3 linked regions of the Ovis aries genome follow. The protein of the gene in region 2 purifies or fractionates together with the protein of the main gene of each other region. This does not show direct contact. Links are inferred from orthologs where the notes say so. Each region holds a gene or a part of one and is shown on either strand. Other genes may lie near its edges.

Region 1 (5,364 bases), on a different chromosome or scaffold from region 2:
CCTCGCCAAGCTTCTCTGCCCCTCCCTGGGCTTGTTTTCCAGGGGCCAAGTGGGCGTCTCTGATGGGCTAGAGCAGGATGTTTTACACTATAGGATACAGCCCATTTAGCATGAATTTGCTTTGATGTGGTGAGGCCAGCCTGTTTTTAATGGAACATTAGGGTTGTAGAAATGATCATTCTTCACAGTAGCAAAGGAATTACGACATTTTTGATTCATATATTTGCATATATGTGCAGATCCTGGATCATAATTTAAAACAATATTATACATCATGGTCAGAAGTTTGAAAGGCAAAGCTGGAGGGTAGATGAGGATAGTTCCTGTCTTCTTCCCCGTCCCTAGAGAAATTTTATCTAGAGAACAGTTCCTTGAATGGTGGAGGCTTTCCGGGAGACGATGTTCTGTAGCCACGATGAGTGTTTGGGTTTCACTTAAACTATGAGCCAGCAACTTCTGATAGCACCCTCAGTGGATCTGTCACACCACCGATGCCCCTGTATTGGACCTTTTGGTACTGCATGTTTCCCCATAAAGTTGTGAGTCCCTTGAAGGTGAGGGATGAGATTTCCTCGCCCAGTTCCCAGGGCCTCACTAGGGGCCTGACCCATAGCACTCTCTGTATGGGTGTGAAATGAGTTCAGACGGGAGGATTGGGTAGCAGCTGGTCCCTGTCTAGTTAACCTGTTGTCTTTCTTTAGCAAAAACGAAAGCTGCGGATCTATATTTCCAATACATTCAGTCCCAGCAAGGCAGAAGGTGACAGTGCAGGAACCACAGGGACCCCTGGAGGAACCCCCGCAGGGGACAAGGTGGCTTCCTGGGAACTCCGAGTAGAGGGAAAACTGCTGGATGATGTGAGTTGGGGAAGGAGGTGTCTGGAGGGGCAGTGGTCTATGTGGGTTTCAGACTTGGGCCAGACACTTGGGCACTTCCGGGGTCATCCTGCTGGAGGGAGAGGGCACAGCACCCAGTCCAGAGGTGGGAGGTTTGTGTGGTTGTTACAGTGCTTTTCCTGCAGATGGCGATAGAGTGTCCTGAGGAAGGGGTGCCCTTGCTAATTCCGGTCCTTTACTGGCTGACAGCGGGGCTGCCTAGGGACCCTTTCTGTGCCTCAGGTCTCACTTTTCCCTGCTTCTTTCAGGGCCTGAGAATCCTCAGTACCCTGAGCTTTAGGACTGAAACAATATTCCTCTGTTCGGGGCTTAGTATGTGGCTTAGGCTTGAACCTTCAATGGCACCCCTGTCTCACCCCCTTTACATCCCCAGCCTAGTAAACAGAAGCGGAAGTTTTCTTCCTTCTTTAAGAGCCTCGTCATCGAGCTGGACAAGGAACTGTATGGGCCAGACAACCACCTGGTAGAGGTGAGAGCGGGCCTGGGGCTTGGGACCACAGGGTGCCGTGCCCGGCGGGCAGAGGAATGGCCTCAGTCCCCTTGCAGGGCCAGGTGCGTATGTTGCCCGCCCCTTTGGTGATGAGCTTGACTCCCCTTCCTCCTGCCAGTGGCACCGGATGCCCACCACCCAGGAGACAGACGGCTTCCAGGTGAAACGGCCTGGAGACCTGAACGTCAAGTGCACCCTCCTGCTCATGCTGGATCATCAGGTGACGAGTGCCCTGAGGCCACGTCTGGGCTCACGGGGACTGTCATCTGGGGCGGGGGCAGGTGCCCATTGGAAACCCTTCCTGTCCCTGCCCTAGCCTGCTTTGGGTTTTTTTTTCCCTCCTCTGACTCCCGTCTGTCCATGCCAGCCCCCACAGTACAAGCTGGACCCCCGCCTGGCGAGGCTGCTGGGGGTGCACACGCAGACGAGGGCTGCCATCATGCAGGCCCTGTGGCTCTACATCAAACACAACCAGCTGCAGGACGGCCACGAGCGCGAGTACATCAACTGCAACCGCTACTTCCGCCAGGTAAGCGGGCACACCGCCCCCTCCCCTTCCAGCCCCCGCCCGCCTTGCCTGTGGCGCCACACCGCCCCGGGACGGGCCACTTCCCCATGTGCCCACCAGGGCGTCACCGACCCTCTGGCGCCCTCCCCAGATCTTCAGCTGTGGCCGACTACGTTTCTCTGAGATTCCCATGAAGCTGGCAGGGTTGCTGCAGCATCCAGACCCGATTGTCATCAACCACGTCATCAGGTAAACGGGAAGGGGGAGGAACGCTGCTCTCAGGGGTTTGCCTTTGACTTCAATTAAAGCCAAAGCAAAGCAGCACGTTTGGTTTCTTGCTCCCTGGGTGTGTGTGGTCTTGCCCCGGGCGGGCGGGAGGGAAGTAGCTCTCTCCCGTGTGCCGTGTAGCGTGGACCCTAACGACCAGAAGAAGACAGCCTGTTACGACATTGACGTGGAGGTGGATGACCCGCTCAAGGCCCAGATGAGCAATTTTCTGGCCTCTACCACCAATCAGCAGGAGATCGCCTCCCTTGATGTCAAGGTGGGCCCCAACCTCCTCTGGGCCCCCAGTGAGCATGGGCAGGTGTCGGGCATTTCCATTTATATAGCACCTTGGGATGGGACCTGAGTCCTTTCGGGTTGGGGCTGGAAGCAGACCTTGTCGGGGTGGGAGCCAGTCTGACACGTACCCCTTTGCCCAGATCCACGAGACTATTGAGTCCATCAACCAGCTGAAGACCCAGAGGGATTTCATGCTCAGTTTTAGCACTGACCCCCAGGACTTCATCCAGGAGTGGCTCCGTTCCCAGCGCCGGGACCTCAAGGTGTGCCCCTTTTTCCTGAGGGTGATCCCACGTTAAGCTCTGGGGGTTCTGTCCCCAGCACCGTTCTTCTGGCTCAGGGGTGGGAATTGCGTTCAGCTCTGCTCCTGGTGCTCTACAGATCATCACTGATGTGACTGGGAACCCGGAGGAGGAGAGACGAGCAGCTTTCTACCACCAGCCCTGGGCCCAGGAAGCAGTAGGGAGGCACATCTTTGCCAAGGTGAGGCGGCTCTGCCCTGGCTGGCCTGGAGGGCATACCGGAGGGCAGGGTGGGCAGCCGGGCCTGAGCCGCTGGTCTGTCCCTGCTCCAGGTGCAGCAGCGAAGGCAGGAACTGGAACAGGTGCTGGGAATCCGCCTGACCTAACTGCTCAGGGACCCCTTCCTTTCTTCCCAGCCTGGAGCCACGCCCTCAGCCTGGAAGGGGACCACCCTCTGGGGCGCAGACACGTAGGATAACGAGGGGGTGAGGGGCATCTCCAGTTACCCTCGGCTCCCCGGCTTTAGTTTCTTAAGTGTAGTGATAGGATTCCTTGTTGCTTGGTCCTCCAAAGCCTTCTTACTTACACATTGGCTTTAACTGGGTTCACGAGAGGCCTCCTGTGCCCCCTGCAGGCAGGCCTGAGAAGGACCTGGAGGCTCTGCTTTGACATTTTAACCGAGACCTTTTGGAACCAGAGGCCCCTGGCTTTGCTTGTTTACAGACCCCCTTGGGGCGAGTGTCCACGCTGGCTCCAGGGAGCGGGGTGAGGAAGAGGAGCATGGCTCCCTTTCTTCCTAGCCTTTCCAAACCAAAGTTCTTTGCCATTCCTACCAGCCCAGCCTTGCTGCTGGTAATTTCCTTTCCTTCGGGTTATTTGCACTATTTGTGGAGCAGGATTTTCTATGCGGGAGCCACTTTTTTTATGGGGGTGTGTTGGGGGTTTTCAGGGAGCCCTACTTGGGGGGTCCCTTATTTTCTTTTCTCAATCTATGCAAGCGGCTCTGGCCGCCATCATCTCCTGCGATGCCAGAGGGCTGTCACCCCAGTTCTTGGGCCCAGGGTAACGCCTCCTAGGGAGAGGGCACCCTAATTCTCTGGCGTGGCCTGAGGCGTGGGTGTGTGTGTGCTCGGTGGAGGGCAGTGGGAGATGGGGAGGACTATTGTTGCTCTTTGGAGCCTGTTAAGGAGGGTGGGCCGAGGGCTTGGCAAACGCCACTTCTGGCAGGTTTGGAAATTTCCAAATAAATCTTTGTTTATTGGTGGTACCTAGACCTGGTGATTGAACAGTGCAGCTGCTGATTAACAGACTCGAGTCCTCAAGGTCCTGACCGGTAGAGCTTTATTTGAGGGATCCACACAAAGGACGTCTGCCTCACTTCCATAGTTTCTTGATGGACATGTTTTTCTCACTGTCCTTTTGCATGACCTGGAGAGAGAACATTTGAGTTAGAGACCCAGTGAACACGTGCCCGACCCCACTGCTCGAGTCACCACCAGCAAAGGCAGAAAGGCGTGGCCCTGTACCTTAGCTACTGCCATCTCGAAGTCCTCCTGCGTGACGTGCACTCGGCGCTCCCGCAGTGCATACATGCCAGCCTCGGTGCACACGCCCTGAGCAGGGAAAGAAGGGGGAGATGCCGCTGTGCCCTGAACCCAGTGCTTCCTGCCTCTGCCCCCTTTCCCTTGGGCACTCCTGTTACCTTCACTTCAGCCCCTGACGCTCCCGGCATGAGCTCAGCAATTTTTCTCAGGTTGATCCCCCGGGTCAGGTTCATTTTCCGAGAATGGATCTTCAAAATGTCCAGCCGGGCCTAGCGATGGGAGGGGAAAAGCCTAAGCCCAGGGCCTACCGCCACAGCTGGGGCTGCTGCCAATGCTGCTTATTACAAACCTCCTCGTTGGGGGGTGGGAATTCAATTTTCCTGTCTATGCGCCCTGGGCGGAGTAGCGCCGAGTCTAGGATGTCAATCCTATTGGTTGCCATGATAACCTGAGTGGACAAAGCAGGTGGCGTCAGCTAAGCCCTTCCTAAGGCAGGCTGCACCTCACCCAGGGCCTTCCCTTGGTCCTTCCCCAAGCCGACCCCACCGTACCTTGATATTCTTGGTGGCCTCAAAGCCATCCAACTGGTTGAGCAGCTCCAGCATAGTGCGCTGGACTTCACTGTCCCCTCCAGAGCCCCCCTCCAGCCTCGAGGAGCCAATGGAGTCAATTTCATCCATGAAGATGATAGATGGAGCGTGTTCTCGGGCCATGACAAACAGCTCCCTCACCATCCGCGCCCCTGTGCAGAGACCAAGCAGGGTGTCAATAAGCCAACGAGTTCCGCCCCCTCACCCCCGCTTAGTTTCATGTTTCTGACCACAGTTACCTTCGCCGATGAATTTCTGTACCAATTCAGAGCCAGAGACACGAATGAAGGTGCAGTCTGTATGATGCGCCACAGCCCGGGCCAGCAGCGTCTTCCCCGTGCCTGGAGGTCCATACAGCAGTACCCCCTAGAGAGCAAGGGTGGGGCTCAGGGAAGGAAGCTGGCCCCCATGTTTCATTCAAGGAACATTTATTGAGTGTTTGCACTGTGCCAAATCTCACGTTAGACGTTAGAGATAAAGTAAATGTCAAAGTCCTTTCTGGAGCTTATACCCAAACTATCTGATGGCCT
Region 2 (5,980 bases):
CTTTTTGAACTCAAAAGACCTCCTTTGAAATTTGAATTTTTTAAGAGTGATTTCACTTTGACTTTTCACTTTCATGCATTGGAGAAGGAAATGGCAACTCACTCCAGTATTCTTGCCTAGAGAATCCCAGGGACGGGGGAGCCTGGTGGGCTGCCCTCTATGGGGTCGCATAGAGGACTGAAGCAACTCAGCAGCAGCAGCAGCAGCAGCAGCAGCAGCAGCAAGAGCTTTAAAAAGCTGCAAAACTGCAGTGCCAGGAGTAATCTGGTTCTAAGAAGCATGTATACAGAACCAACCTTGTTCTCATCCTTCAGGGTTTAACAAGCACAGTAATACTAGAGCTTAAACTAACACAATTCACATTTATATATTCGAGCAAACTTTTTCTTTCTTCGCACTACGTGGCTTGAAGGATCTTAAAGTTTGCCAACCAGGGATTGAACCTGTGCCCTTAGCAGTTAAAGCGCCAAGTCCTAACCACTGGACCGCCAGGGAATTTCCCTTGATTGATCTTAAAGTAAACAAACTGAGGGCAGATGATTTCTTTCCCACAATATCCTCAGCACCCATGAAGGTGTCTGGAATATCCTGACTCAGAAGTAAAAAGATCAGGCTTGGCTGCAAGTCACCACATATATGGACATTTAGTCAACCCACGTGGATCTCAGGTATGCTATTGACTAGGGAGGCTGAACTAGATAAGCTCTGACATATTCTACAAGAGGGAGACTCCAAGCATGAGAAGTTGAACACAGTAAATCTCTGTCGTTTATGTTCGTAACTCAAGCTGCAGCAACAAACCCTGCTCTGGAATCGAAGAGGGGCTTTCATGGGGCAGCCACTGAGGCACAGCTTAGAACGTTCCCAGCAACCAACAAAGACATACACTGCACGCAGGCAGTGACATCACAAGATAGTCTGGCTTGATTCAATGTGCTGTAATGACTGTAATTTGAGGTAGGCATGAAGCCTGTGCTGGAGAATAAAGAGAAGGAATAGGCTCATATTTGCTCGCCTTTAGGAGGCAGCCATGTCCTCACTAAACAGAGGAAAATTGGATAAACAAGGCTGAGTGCGGCAGCGCCTTTGTTTCTGCTGATGGAAATTGATACTGACACTGTAAGTCAGATGGAAAGAAGGGCTAGACAGGCTGAGAACTGCAAAGTCAGAGCAAGGAGGCTGGAAACTGTCGGGGGTGGGGTTGAGATATGACGAGAGATGTTCTATCAAAGCTCCGGTGAGTTAAATGGGATTTCAGAAGGTGGGGCAAACTGCATTGTGAGTGAGAGCTGATAACGAAATACAAGTTGGAGGAAGAGAGGATCTGATGAGGATAGAGCAAAAAAGAATGAGAGAGCTCTCTTAAGAATCTAAGGCTCCTACAAGAAATTTTAAGCTAACATTCTCCAGATCTTGTTACCTAACTCAGAGGATTTCAGCAACCACAGCTCTTTTATACTATTATTTTGCCCTGTAAGACCTCTTAAAGATTGTTTCAATTCTGACACCACGTTTGGGAGGGATGGAGAATTTACAAACAGGAAAATTCTTCTCCCAGAACAAGATGCAAGTCAGAAAAGATGAGCTAGTAGTCCTGACCTCAATGTAAAACCTCAGCAGTCAGAAGACTAGGCACACCGTGGTCAAGAAAAGCGTCTCTTTACAGGATGAGAATGGTACAGGAAGACTGGAAGTCTCTTTTTAAAGAGCAGGTTCTGTACGAAAATGTATTAACTGTGGTCCACAGCTCTTTACAGCTAGAACTGAGGAGTAGAAAGTTGGTTATTTATTACTGGTACTCAGGAATCAGCAGTTGGTGACCTTCACTATCTCTACAGATCTTTAAAGAGAAATAAGAAGTCAAGCTCTATTTAAACGGGCAACCCCTCACTTCCAATACTGCATGAAAGGGTTGGTGACCTTATTTCTCAGATGAAAGTCTTCCAACATAAACAATCTCACTACATAAAACTCTTAAACCTAGGCAAGTTTTGACATTCCCCCATTACAGTAAGCTTTCCAAGGTAGAAGCTTTGATTCTTTTTTGAGAGGCATGAAACCTGTGTAAAACCTCCCTTTACAATGGGACAGGGGCAGTCAACAAAGAGAAAGACAGGGAAACAAAGAAAGAACATCTGAGTCAGTATGGATAACATATAAATGGTAGATCAGCAGCGTCATTTCTAAATTGAGGGAAATGTCAGCTTGGAGAGAGTGCTGGGGAAACTGAAGTGGGTAGATCAGAGAGGAAGATAATAAATAGTGCTGGGAGTAGGGGTGGCTGAAATAGGCAGCAGGATGGAGCTGAAAGCACGTTAGGAAAAAAAAAAAAACCCACAAGGAGAAGGCACTTAGCTTAATGGAAGTGGGAAAGCATTCTCAAAGAAAAGGCTCCAGGCAGGGGGAGGGAGAGAAGCAATGTACTCTTAGAAAAAAGGCTCTTGGGAAGAGTGGGGCTCAGCCTACTACAAAGACAGTTGAGAAGCTATGTGCCCCTTAGAAGAGTTCCCAAACCTTTACCTTCTCACCCAGTCAAAATCCAAAAGCCAAGCTGCACAACTGGTCACCTCATTTTTCCTACCCCTGCACCAAGCCAAATGTGTCCATTAAAGAGCTTGCTGTATTGGCCGACGGGGGTGGGGGTGCAAGAACCCATTGGAAAACTCATTGAGATTCTTCTTCGGGGAGGAGGCTGGATTAAATCAAGTCCCAAAGCATCTTTAACTCACAGCTAACAGGCCATTCTCAGTCTGCCAAACAACCATGAACTTTAACTTTGCTTGAAATCTGCCCAGTCCAAGAGTATTGCAGAGCGAAGAAGGTCGACCCAGATGCCCCTCGGGGCGGCCAGGGCGTCCTGGACTGCGTCCGTCCAGTGCCCACTTTCCGATGGCTGGGACTGGCCGGCGCCAAGCCCCTCTTCCCTGAAGTTCTTTCCCTCTGGATCTTGCTCTTCCACAAATTCTCCCCAGGAATATTTTTGGTCTCGGGTACCTGATACTCAAGGACCACCCCACCCCCGCCCCCGCCCGCCCAGGAACGTCACGGGGCTGTTCAGAACAAAACAGCCCTGAGCGCTTAACGGCGCCAGGGCGGCCGAGCCTGCTCCTCCGGGGCCCGCTGCGGGCAGCCGACGGGGAGGGGCCGGCGGCCAGGCTTCGCGGGGGTCGGCCCCGCTCTCCCGGACGGAGGCGAAGCCCGGACCGTGTGCCGTACGCAACAAGGGCGCCATACTCTGGAAACCTTCCGCCTGAGGGAGCGCCCAGCCCCACAGGGAGGCTGCCCGTCACGGGCTCCCGTGTGCCCCCCTCAGGGCCTCCACAAGTTTCCAAAGAAGCGCAACGTCTTTCCCGAGTCTCCTGTTGCCCTCCCCTCTAGGAGTCGCAACACGGCCTCTCTGGGCACGTCCCTCTCTCCGCCTCGTCCGTTCCCACACCGCCCCCTGCTTCCAGGTCCCTTACAAGACCTCCCAGGCTAGAAGAGAAAGAAACGGCCACTCACAGCTTCACTACATTTTCCACCACGGCCGCCATCTTCCCGGCTTCTCTCCCTCAGGCCGGGAGGCCCGGAGCCCGCAGCGCGCAGGCGCTGGGACCGCAGAGGGAACCAATTTCCTTGTCTTTCTGCGCAGGCGCCACCGGGGCGCGTGCGCCCGAGAGCGAGCGACGGAGAATGAGCTTCTGGCCAGTTCTCCCCGGCCTGGCAATCCGGGGACGAATGCGCAGGCGCAATGGAGGCGGGCGCGCGCCCCGAGGCTTCTGCTCCAGTTTTGCCTCATCCTTTTAGTGAGAAGGTAGAAGCGAGAGGATCTGACCGGGTCCATAAATGAGAAGGTGAGAGGTTGGTGAGAACTGGCAAGCCCAGAGGTGGTCTAGATGGAGGTCATGCGTCCTGTTACCTCGCTGACCTTTAACCTCGTGGTTAATAACCCTTTGCCCTCACGTACAGACTCAGGGGTTGGTGGGTAGCCGAAGGTAAGAGCAGTGCACACTCCTCTTGGGCTGCCCACTTTAGTGAGAGAAATATTAACTCCAAGAACCTGGCAGATCTTTGGCCTGAATATTTGGGTCTGACAAAAGTTCCCCCACCTTCCTGCCACCAACTTAATTGATCTCCACCTCTTCTTCCCTGCTTCCTACCCCTAAGCTCTTGTCCTCCTCTGAAGAACTTCTCTCCTGCAACTTCCTCTCCTGTACCATTCAGTTCTCCTTCGCTATTGAATCATGCAAATTCATCTGCAAACATGGCTTAATATCCTCTTTAAAAAATATCAGAGCCCTTCCTTAAGCCCTTTCTGCCTTTATCACCCTCTTTCTTTTCACCCTTTCAGAGCACATATTCTTGTTTATACTTACTATCCCTGCTGATTTATTTCCAAGTGTCTCTCTGCCCAGTTTAATGGCGATTTTGTTCTCATCAGTTCATTGAAACATCTAACAAAGACACCACGATCTCCATTTCAACAGATTTCGAGATCTCCCTGTCTTTATCAGCCTATCAGCCCTCATGACAACACTGGCCAGTCACTTCTTTTTCAAACTCATCTCTGAGACACACACTCTCCTGGCTGGCTGCCTATCACACTGCCAGCTCCTTCAGCTTCTTTTACTGGCTCTCTGTCCTCACATCTACCTAGACCCGTCAGAGTCCCCAGGGCTTGGTCTTTGATCCTGGTAATATGCCGTATTTCATCAATTCTAAGATGCACATATTCTCTGCCCTCCCCCCATTTTAGTATTTCGGAATCAGGACACATCTTACCATCATTGTGCCTTAAAATCAGGTTTGGCAGATGAGAGTTGAGTGGTATTTGTCATTGTTTACCCTGCACCAAATTTGCAGAATAGATGTCAGCAGCTTGGAAGGAAAACCTAGGGACAATACTGTTGCACTCTTGTTCCCCAAATGATTGTGGGAATCAAAGGTGATACCAAAAGAATTCATAAGTATGTGTTTCAGCATGAATGTGAAAAGTAGAAGTGTTAGTTGGTCAGTTGTGTTCGACTCTGCGACCCCATGGACTGTAGCCCATCTGGCTCCTCTGCCCATGGAATTCTCCAGACAAGGACACTGGAGTGGGTAGCCATTCCCTCCTAAAGGGATCTTCCCAACTCAGGGATCAAACCCCAGTCTCGTGCATTGCAGGCAGATTCTTTACTGTCTGAACCACCAGGGAAGCTCCCACCCCTACATTCATAGGTTTAAGTCCTACCCACTAAGTCTGATAATATTTGGAGGTGGGATCTTTCAGAGGTAATTAAGTTTAGATGCAGTCTGAGGGTGGAGTTCTCATGGTGGAATTAGTGCCCTCATTAGAAGAAGCAGCTGGAGATCTATCCGTGAGGAAAGGCCATGTGAGGACCCAGCAAGAAAGCAGATGTCCACAAGCCAGGAAGTGGACTTCCACCAGGAACCAAATTTGCTGGCACCTTGATCTTGGATTTCCCAGCCTCCAGAATTGTGAGAAATAAATATCTGTTGTCTATGGTACTTTGTTACAACATCCTGAGCTAAGACAGTGTGTGAGCACTGAAGCTGAACACACACATACCCTCTGACCCAGCAATTCTATTCATGCATGCATATATGGAAAACCATGTGTAAGAATGATCACAATAGCATTAATTGTATTAGGCCCAAACTAGAACATTCCAAATGCCCATAGCACTAGAGTGGATTAAGCAACATGGAAAAGAACAAACTTGCTACACAACAACGTGAGTGAATCTCAAAAACGTAATATTTGAAAAAAAAGAAGCCAATTTCCAAAGAGGACATATTGTGTGATTCCATTTATATCAAATTAAATAATCATACATGCTAAACTATGGGGGCAGAAGTCAGGAAAGTGGTTCACTTTGGAAGATAATAATGAGGGGGCATAAGGTGGCTACAAAGGTGCTAGTAATATTCCTTGTCTGGGTTACACAAGTTTGTTCACTTTGTAAAAATTCATCGACCCACCCAAGATTTGTGCACT
Region 3 (5,491 bases), on a different chromosome or scaffold from region 2:
CTCTCTAATACTATCTAGAGGTCCTATGCAGACCAGGGGAGGGGAGAGGCACATGGGAACTTTGTAGGGCAAAGGGAAGCTGGGGATAGGAAGGGATGGGGTGGGAGAAGAGGAGAGCCGGTGTCACGTGAGACCCTCTTCATTCTGGTGTTGTCTTAGAACCGACAGCATCCCCTGGAAAGCCCCAAGCAAGACCAAGGCAGGTGCCATAAGGCAGGCAGCACAGGGCCCAATAAAGAAATCGGTGCAGCCAATGAGGGCTGTGGGAGAAGCCCTATGTATTTCGGATCCCCAGGGCTTGCTCTAATTCTTGCCGTCTCTGCTGCACCTAAGGAGAAAATAGTGGCGGGAGTGGAGGATGAGACAAACCACAAGTTGTTCTTGAAGCTACTGAGCCCCACCAGGTGCAGACCCCTTGCCTTTTGTCGGTCTCCCCTCTGCACCCCAGGTGCCTACCTTGGAGTAGAAGTATCGACACACAGCCTCCTGGGCCCAAGGCTGGAAGTAGAACTCTGCTCGGCGTTCCTCCTCTGAGTTACCCACCACATCAGTCATGACCTGAGACAGAACAGGAAGCGGGAGAGAGAACAGGCTTGTTTCCTTCCTTGTCATCTGTTATGGACTGAACAGTGTCCCCTAAAAGATACTGAACTCCTAACCCCCCGGTACCTGTGAATGTGACCTTCTTTGGAAATAGGGTCTCTGCAGATGATCAAGTTAGGATAAGGTCATTAGGGTGGGCCTGATCCAATGATGGGTATCTTAATAAAAAGGGGAAACTCAGACACAGAGACAGACACGTACAGAGGAAAGACAAGGGGAACACACATGGAGAACACCAGCTGCCAACCAAGAAGCACCTGAGCGACTAAAAGCCAGGAGAGAGGCCTGGAACAGACTCTCCCTCCCCACCCTTGGAAGGGGCCAAACCCTGCTGACACTGTGACTTCAGGCTCTAGCCTCCAGAACTGTGAGACCATCCATTTCCCTTGTTTAAGCCACGGGAGCCGTGGTACTTTACTAAACCACTAAAACAGCACCCCAAGCCACTCATGCTGTGGACAAGCCCCTGCCTTGTTCAGGGATCCTTCCTGGCACCCCCGTGCCCTGCTCCTCTGGCCAGGCTGGCTGCAGTCAGCACAGGACAGGCGAGAACTGAGGGCGTCTCACATACTGTGCTCACTCCTGCCTTCCTGCCTGAGCCTGCGGTGCTCCTCTCTCTGCGAGCTCCTCTCAGAGAGCACCCCTCTCTCAAATCCCAAATTCTCCAGAAAGCCTTTCCAAGCTATCCTAGTCTCACCAATCTCCCTTCTCCTTTGTTTCATCTTATTGGTACCGGTGAAATTCTGATAATGTCGCACATGATTTATTACTTTTAAAATCCCATTAGCCTGGTTTCTCAAACAGAATGGATGCTACTTTGAAAGCAGGGGCCGAGTTTTGCAGTCTGTATCCCCTACAACGTGAGCACAGTGACAGCACACAGTAAATACGAGATAAACACTTGACGGTTTCATTTCCATTTCCCTACTAGAACACGCTGAAGGAAGTCTGGCCCTTCGCCTCTCCCCGGCTCTCCACCACACGCTACAGACACAGAGCAGACATGTGCCTCTTGGGCCCAAGTCTCTCTGCACCTGTCCCCGGTTCCCTACCTTGAGGTCCCGGCACTGGGACTGTAGCCAGTCGTTGATGAAACCCTGAGGGTCTCTGGCAAAGCTCAGCATGAACTCCCGCTGGGTCTTCAGCTGATTGATAGTCTCTATTGTCTCATGGATCTGAAAGGAAGAAGGAAAGGAAGTTCGTAACATTTCCACGTTGGGGAAAAGCAAAGTTAAGTGGCAGGCAATGTATGACTTCTCCTTGTGCCACTCCCAACCAAGGAACAGAATGCAGCCCCCAAATGGCACTGCTGCCCAGGGCCCCACCTGCTCTGGCGCTTGGCGCTGTCTCTGTCCACCGCCCGTGTGTGAAGTTTTCCTTACAGTCTGCACCATGTCCACTGTGGATGACACTACATGGGAAATTTTTAATCCACAGCACAAACGGAAACTCTCAGGTAGAAAAAAAGTGGTACACAGGGCTGTCTCTGCAGCTGTGGTCCGTGGGTTTTGTTCGCTGATGCTCCACTCTCTTCCTGGTAATTTCATCTACTTGTATGTCTTCCAGCACCACTGACGGTAACGAGTCCCCAGGCTGCAGATCACAGACCATTTTCTACACTCCTACTGATGCATCTGCTTGACACCTCAAGACACCTTAAACTCCCCAAAACAAAAGCACTACCTTTTCCCAAGGCTTGCTTCTCCTGCTCCCAATCTGAATGACTACAACTGCACACTCCAGCTGAAAACCTGGAGGTCTTCATAACACCTCTTCTCCCTCACACCTCACCCCACCTCTCCATCCAGTGTCCAGATCCCTACAGTTCCACCTCAACACCTCCCAAACCTAGCTGCTCACGTCCATCCGTCCTCACGATCAGCGCCGTAAGGTTAGGCCCATAGCATACATCATGCGCATTATTGCACCATCCCCCACCTAGGCTTCCTTCCCCCAGATCTGACCCCCTTACAGTTCACCTCCCACTATCCTGCCAGTGAGCATTCTAAATAAAACAGCACCAGGCCCTCCCATTTTCAGGACAAAGTATAAACCAGTTTACCCTGCCTCAAAGCGGTTTCAGGACTAGGTTCCTGCTTCCCTCTCATTTCTTCCCCCTGGCACCCCGAGCTTTATCTAACACAGTGAAGAGCTGGTGTTTCTTCAACATGCCAGGTTCTCTGCTCATCTCTGGGCCTGCATATGCCCTGCTCCCTCTTCCTGGAATGTCCTCTGCCCCCCACACCCTCAAGTACCATCATCCTTTCTCCCCTTTTCTTGACTCCCATCAGTTCAGTTCAGTCGCTCAGTTGTGTCCGACTCTTTGCGACCCCATGGACTGCAGCACGCCAGGCCTCCCTGTCCATCACCAACTCCTAGAGCTTGCTCAAACTCATGTCCATTGACTCGGTGATGCCATCCAGCCATCTCATCCTCTGTCTTCCCCTTCTCCTGCCTTCAATCTTTCCCAGCATCAGGGTCTTTTCCAAGGAGTCAGTTCTTCGCATCAGGTGGCCAAAGTATTGGGAGTTTCAGCTTCAGCATCAGTCCTTCCAATGAATATTCAGGACTGATTTCTTTTAGGATTGACTGGTTTGATCTTGCAGTCCAAGAGACTCTCAAGAGTCTTCTCCAGCACCACAGTTCAAAAGCATCAATTCTCTGGTGCTTAGTTTTCTTTATAGTCCAACTCCCATGTTGACTCCCATGTCCTTCAAGATTAGGTTGGGGCATCACCTCTTCCAAGAAAGCCTTTCTGTTTTCCTTTGTGTTCCCAGAGCCTTTCTGGCTTTACTTGCATGGACTATGTCTAATAACGTTCACGGTAATAACAACAGAAGCAGCAGCCGCCATTTGTTTTTATGTGCCAGATACAACGTCATGTCTTCACATACATTGTCTCATTTAATCCTCATAACAACTTTAGAAAAATAGGCATTATGGTTTCACAGATCAGAAACTGAGGCTCAAAGCTATTAAGAGATATAGTTAAGAATCAGAACTTATGTGCGTCTGGCTCCAACCAGCACCAGAGTGCCCAGCATATATTGGGTATCAACATATTTTGAACGAATATCAAAAATCAAAGAAGCCAAGAAGCTGTGATAGAGGGCTGGTGACACCCAACCATCCAGGCCATGGTCCCTACCTTGTTGTCTAGGGTAGCAATCTCCTGCTGGCTGGCAGTAGACAGCAGAAAAGAATTCATCTGGGTCTTCAAGGTATCATCCACTTCCACATCAATGTCATAACAAGCTGTCTTCTTCTGATCATTCGGGTCAACACTGAGGAGGAAACCAAGGGGGCCTGGTAAAGGGCTTGTTCCCTAAGACCTAATTACATAAGTCTTAGACTGAAGGGCAAGGAGTTGACTGCAAAAGGGTACCAGAGACCTTGCTGGTGTGACAGAAATGCTCTGTACTCTCCCTGCGGTGGTAGCTATAGGATGTGCACATCAGCCAAAAATCATCAGATTTTAACTGGGTGCAATATACTGCATATAAGCCTCAGTAGTAATGGTAAAAAGTCAAATGGTACAAAAGATAGCCAATGAAAAGTAAGTTTCTCCTTCCCCACAAAGAGACCACTGCTACAGTATCTTTACTTATTAAACTTAAACTGACTCTGAAAATACATTCAAGTAAACACACACCACACAAAATAAAACGTGGCCTAAATTTAACCACATGAATATAGGACAAACTAGCTTCTACTGACCCAGCGTATGGGTTGTAGGAATTACTATCAGCTGAGTGATGATGGTTCAGGGTCTAGCGAAAGGACAGCTTTACTGGAGTTAATATGGAGTAAGGGAAAGAAGGCAAAGACTATGTAGAGCCAGAAGGCATGGTGCTCTGAGGAGAAAGTGCCTTCTTTCACTATCTGCCTAAACATGCCTTGTTCATCCATCTTCTGAACAGAAAAGCAGACAGAGGTAATGGGAGTTGGAGTCTCAGACTGGAATGTCCTACCACCCAGAGAAAAGACAGGAGTTCATCAGTGATGAGCTGATAAATTCTAATAACTGATTCTCCAAAAGAGAAAAAGAACGGTAAGAAAAAACCCTGACTTGGAGCATTTGCTAATTTCTGTGTTTTAAATATTCTCCACACGGTTGATTTCAAGATGCTGACATTATATCACTCATCGAGGAATTGGGAAGGGATGTGCAGTAACACATCATTAGACAGTATTTCCACCACACAGACACAAGAGACAGAAGTAACTTCAAAAACACACACCAGTATGTGTATGTCAGTTGCTCAGTCGTGTCTGACTCTTTGAGACTCCACGGACTGTAACCAGCCCGGCTCCTCTGTCCATGGAATTCTCCAGGCAAGAATACTGGAGTGGGTTGCCATTCTCTTCTCCAGGTATTTTCCTGACTCAGGGATTGAACCTGGGTCTCCTGCATTGCAGGCAGATTCTTTACCATCTGAGCCACCAGGGAAGCCCAAACACCGGTAAACCAATATAACAACTCAGATATGATGACCTTCTGAGTACATTTACACTTATTTTTTATATAATGTATTTAATCGCAAGTTTATATAATCCTAAATAATGACTGTGTTTAACAACCTGCTTATAAATTTCCTAAAAATTCTGAGAACTGACTTGCGCAGGTGGTACAAGCCAGCTCCAGCACACACTGCCTTGCGTACACATGCTTACCTGATGACATGATTAATGATGATGGGCTCAGGTGGCATAAGCAAGGCATGGAGCCGTTGGGGAATCTCTGAAAACTTCATACGTTGAGACTCAAAGATCTGTGGGAAAGAGGAGAAGCAGCTAAGAGTACAACTGGTGCTGCAGTGGACTTGAGAAAAGAGTGGAAACTTTTCTCACCTGCTGGAGGTACTTGTCACAAATGACAAACTCCCGC

What was found. The genes of interacting proteins can lie anywhere in the genome.
Region 1: the proteins of DPF2 (region 2) and SMARCD2 purify together in Homo sapiens (affinity purification with mass spectrometry; 6 studies listed by BioGRID and IntAct, counting the BioPlex papers as one, with this or other methods). This does not show direct contact. The link is inferred for Ovis aries from reciprocal best matches to the Homo sapiens genes DPF2 and SMARCD2.
Region 3: the proteins of DPF2 (region 2) and SMARCD1 purify together in Homo sapiens (affinity purification with mass spectrometry; 9 studies listed by BioGRID and IntAct, counting the BioPlex papers as one, with this or other methods). This does not show direct contact. The link is inferred for Ovis aries from reciprocal best matches to the Homo sapiens genes DPF2 and SMARCD1.

What each region holds. Positions count from the first base shown.
Region 1 is NC_056064.1:47,806,804-47,812,167, reverse strand, and holds the end of SMARCD2 (SWI/SNF-related matrix-associated actin-dependent regulator of chromatin subfamily D member 2), read left to right. Parts: intron 1-701; coding exon 702-857; intron 858-1,269; coding exon 1,270-1,365; intron 1,366-1,504; coding exon 1,505-1,606; intron 1,607-1,753; coding exon 1,754-1,915; intron 1,916-2,045; coding exon 2,046-2,143; intron 2,144-2,302; coding exon 2,303-2,438; intron 2,439-2,598; coding exon 2,599-2,721; intron 2,722-2,839; coding exon 2,840-2,941; intron 2,942-3,032; coding exon 3,033-3,086; 3' UTR 3,087-3,967; downstream 3,968-5,364. Other genes in the region: PSMC5 (26S proteasome regulatory subunit 8), read right to left, coding at 4,075-4,128, 4,227-4,313, 4,403-4,513, 4,594-4,692, 4,796-4,986, 5,074-5,200. UniProt on the Homo sapiens protein: Involved in transcriptional activation and repression of select genes by chromatin remodeling (alteration of DNA-nucleosome topology).
Region 2 is NC_056074.1:39,981,780-39,987,759, reverse strand, and holds the start of DPF2 (zinc finger protein ubi-d4), read right to left. Parts: upstream 3,577-5,980; 5' UTR 3,534-3,576; coding exon 3,502-3,533; intron 1-3,501. UniProt on the Homo sapiens protein: Plays an active role in transcriptional regulation by binding modified histones H3 and H4. Is a negative regulator of myeloid differentiation of hematopoietic progenitor cells. Might also have a role in the development and maturation of lymphoid cells.
Region 3 is NC_056056.1:136,217,096-136,222,586, forward strand, and holds part of SMARCD1 (SWI/SNF-related matrix-associated actin-dependent regulator of chromatin subfamily D member 1), read right to left. Parts: coding exon 5,455-5,491; intron 5,376-5,454; coding exon 5,278-5,375; intron 3,888-5,277; coding exon 3,752-3,887; intron 1,779-3,751; coding exon 1,416-1,778; 3' UTR 559-1,415; coding exon of another isoform or gene 457-558; 3' UTR 329-456; coding exon of another isoform or gene 275-328; 3' UTR 1-274. UniProt on the Homo sapiens protein: Involved in transcriptional activation and repression of select genes by chromatin remodeling (alteration of DNA-nucleosome topology).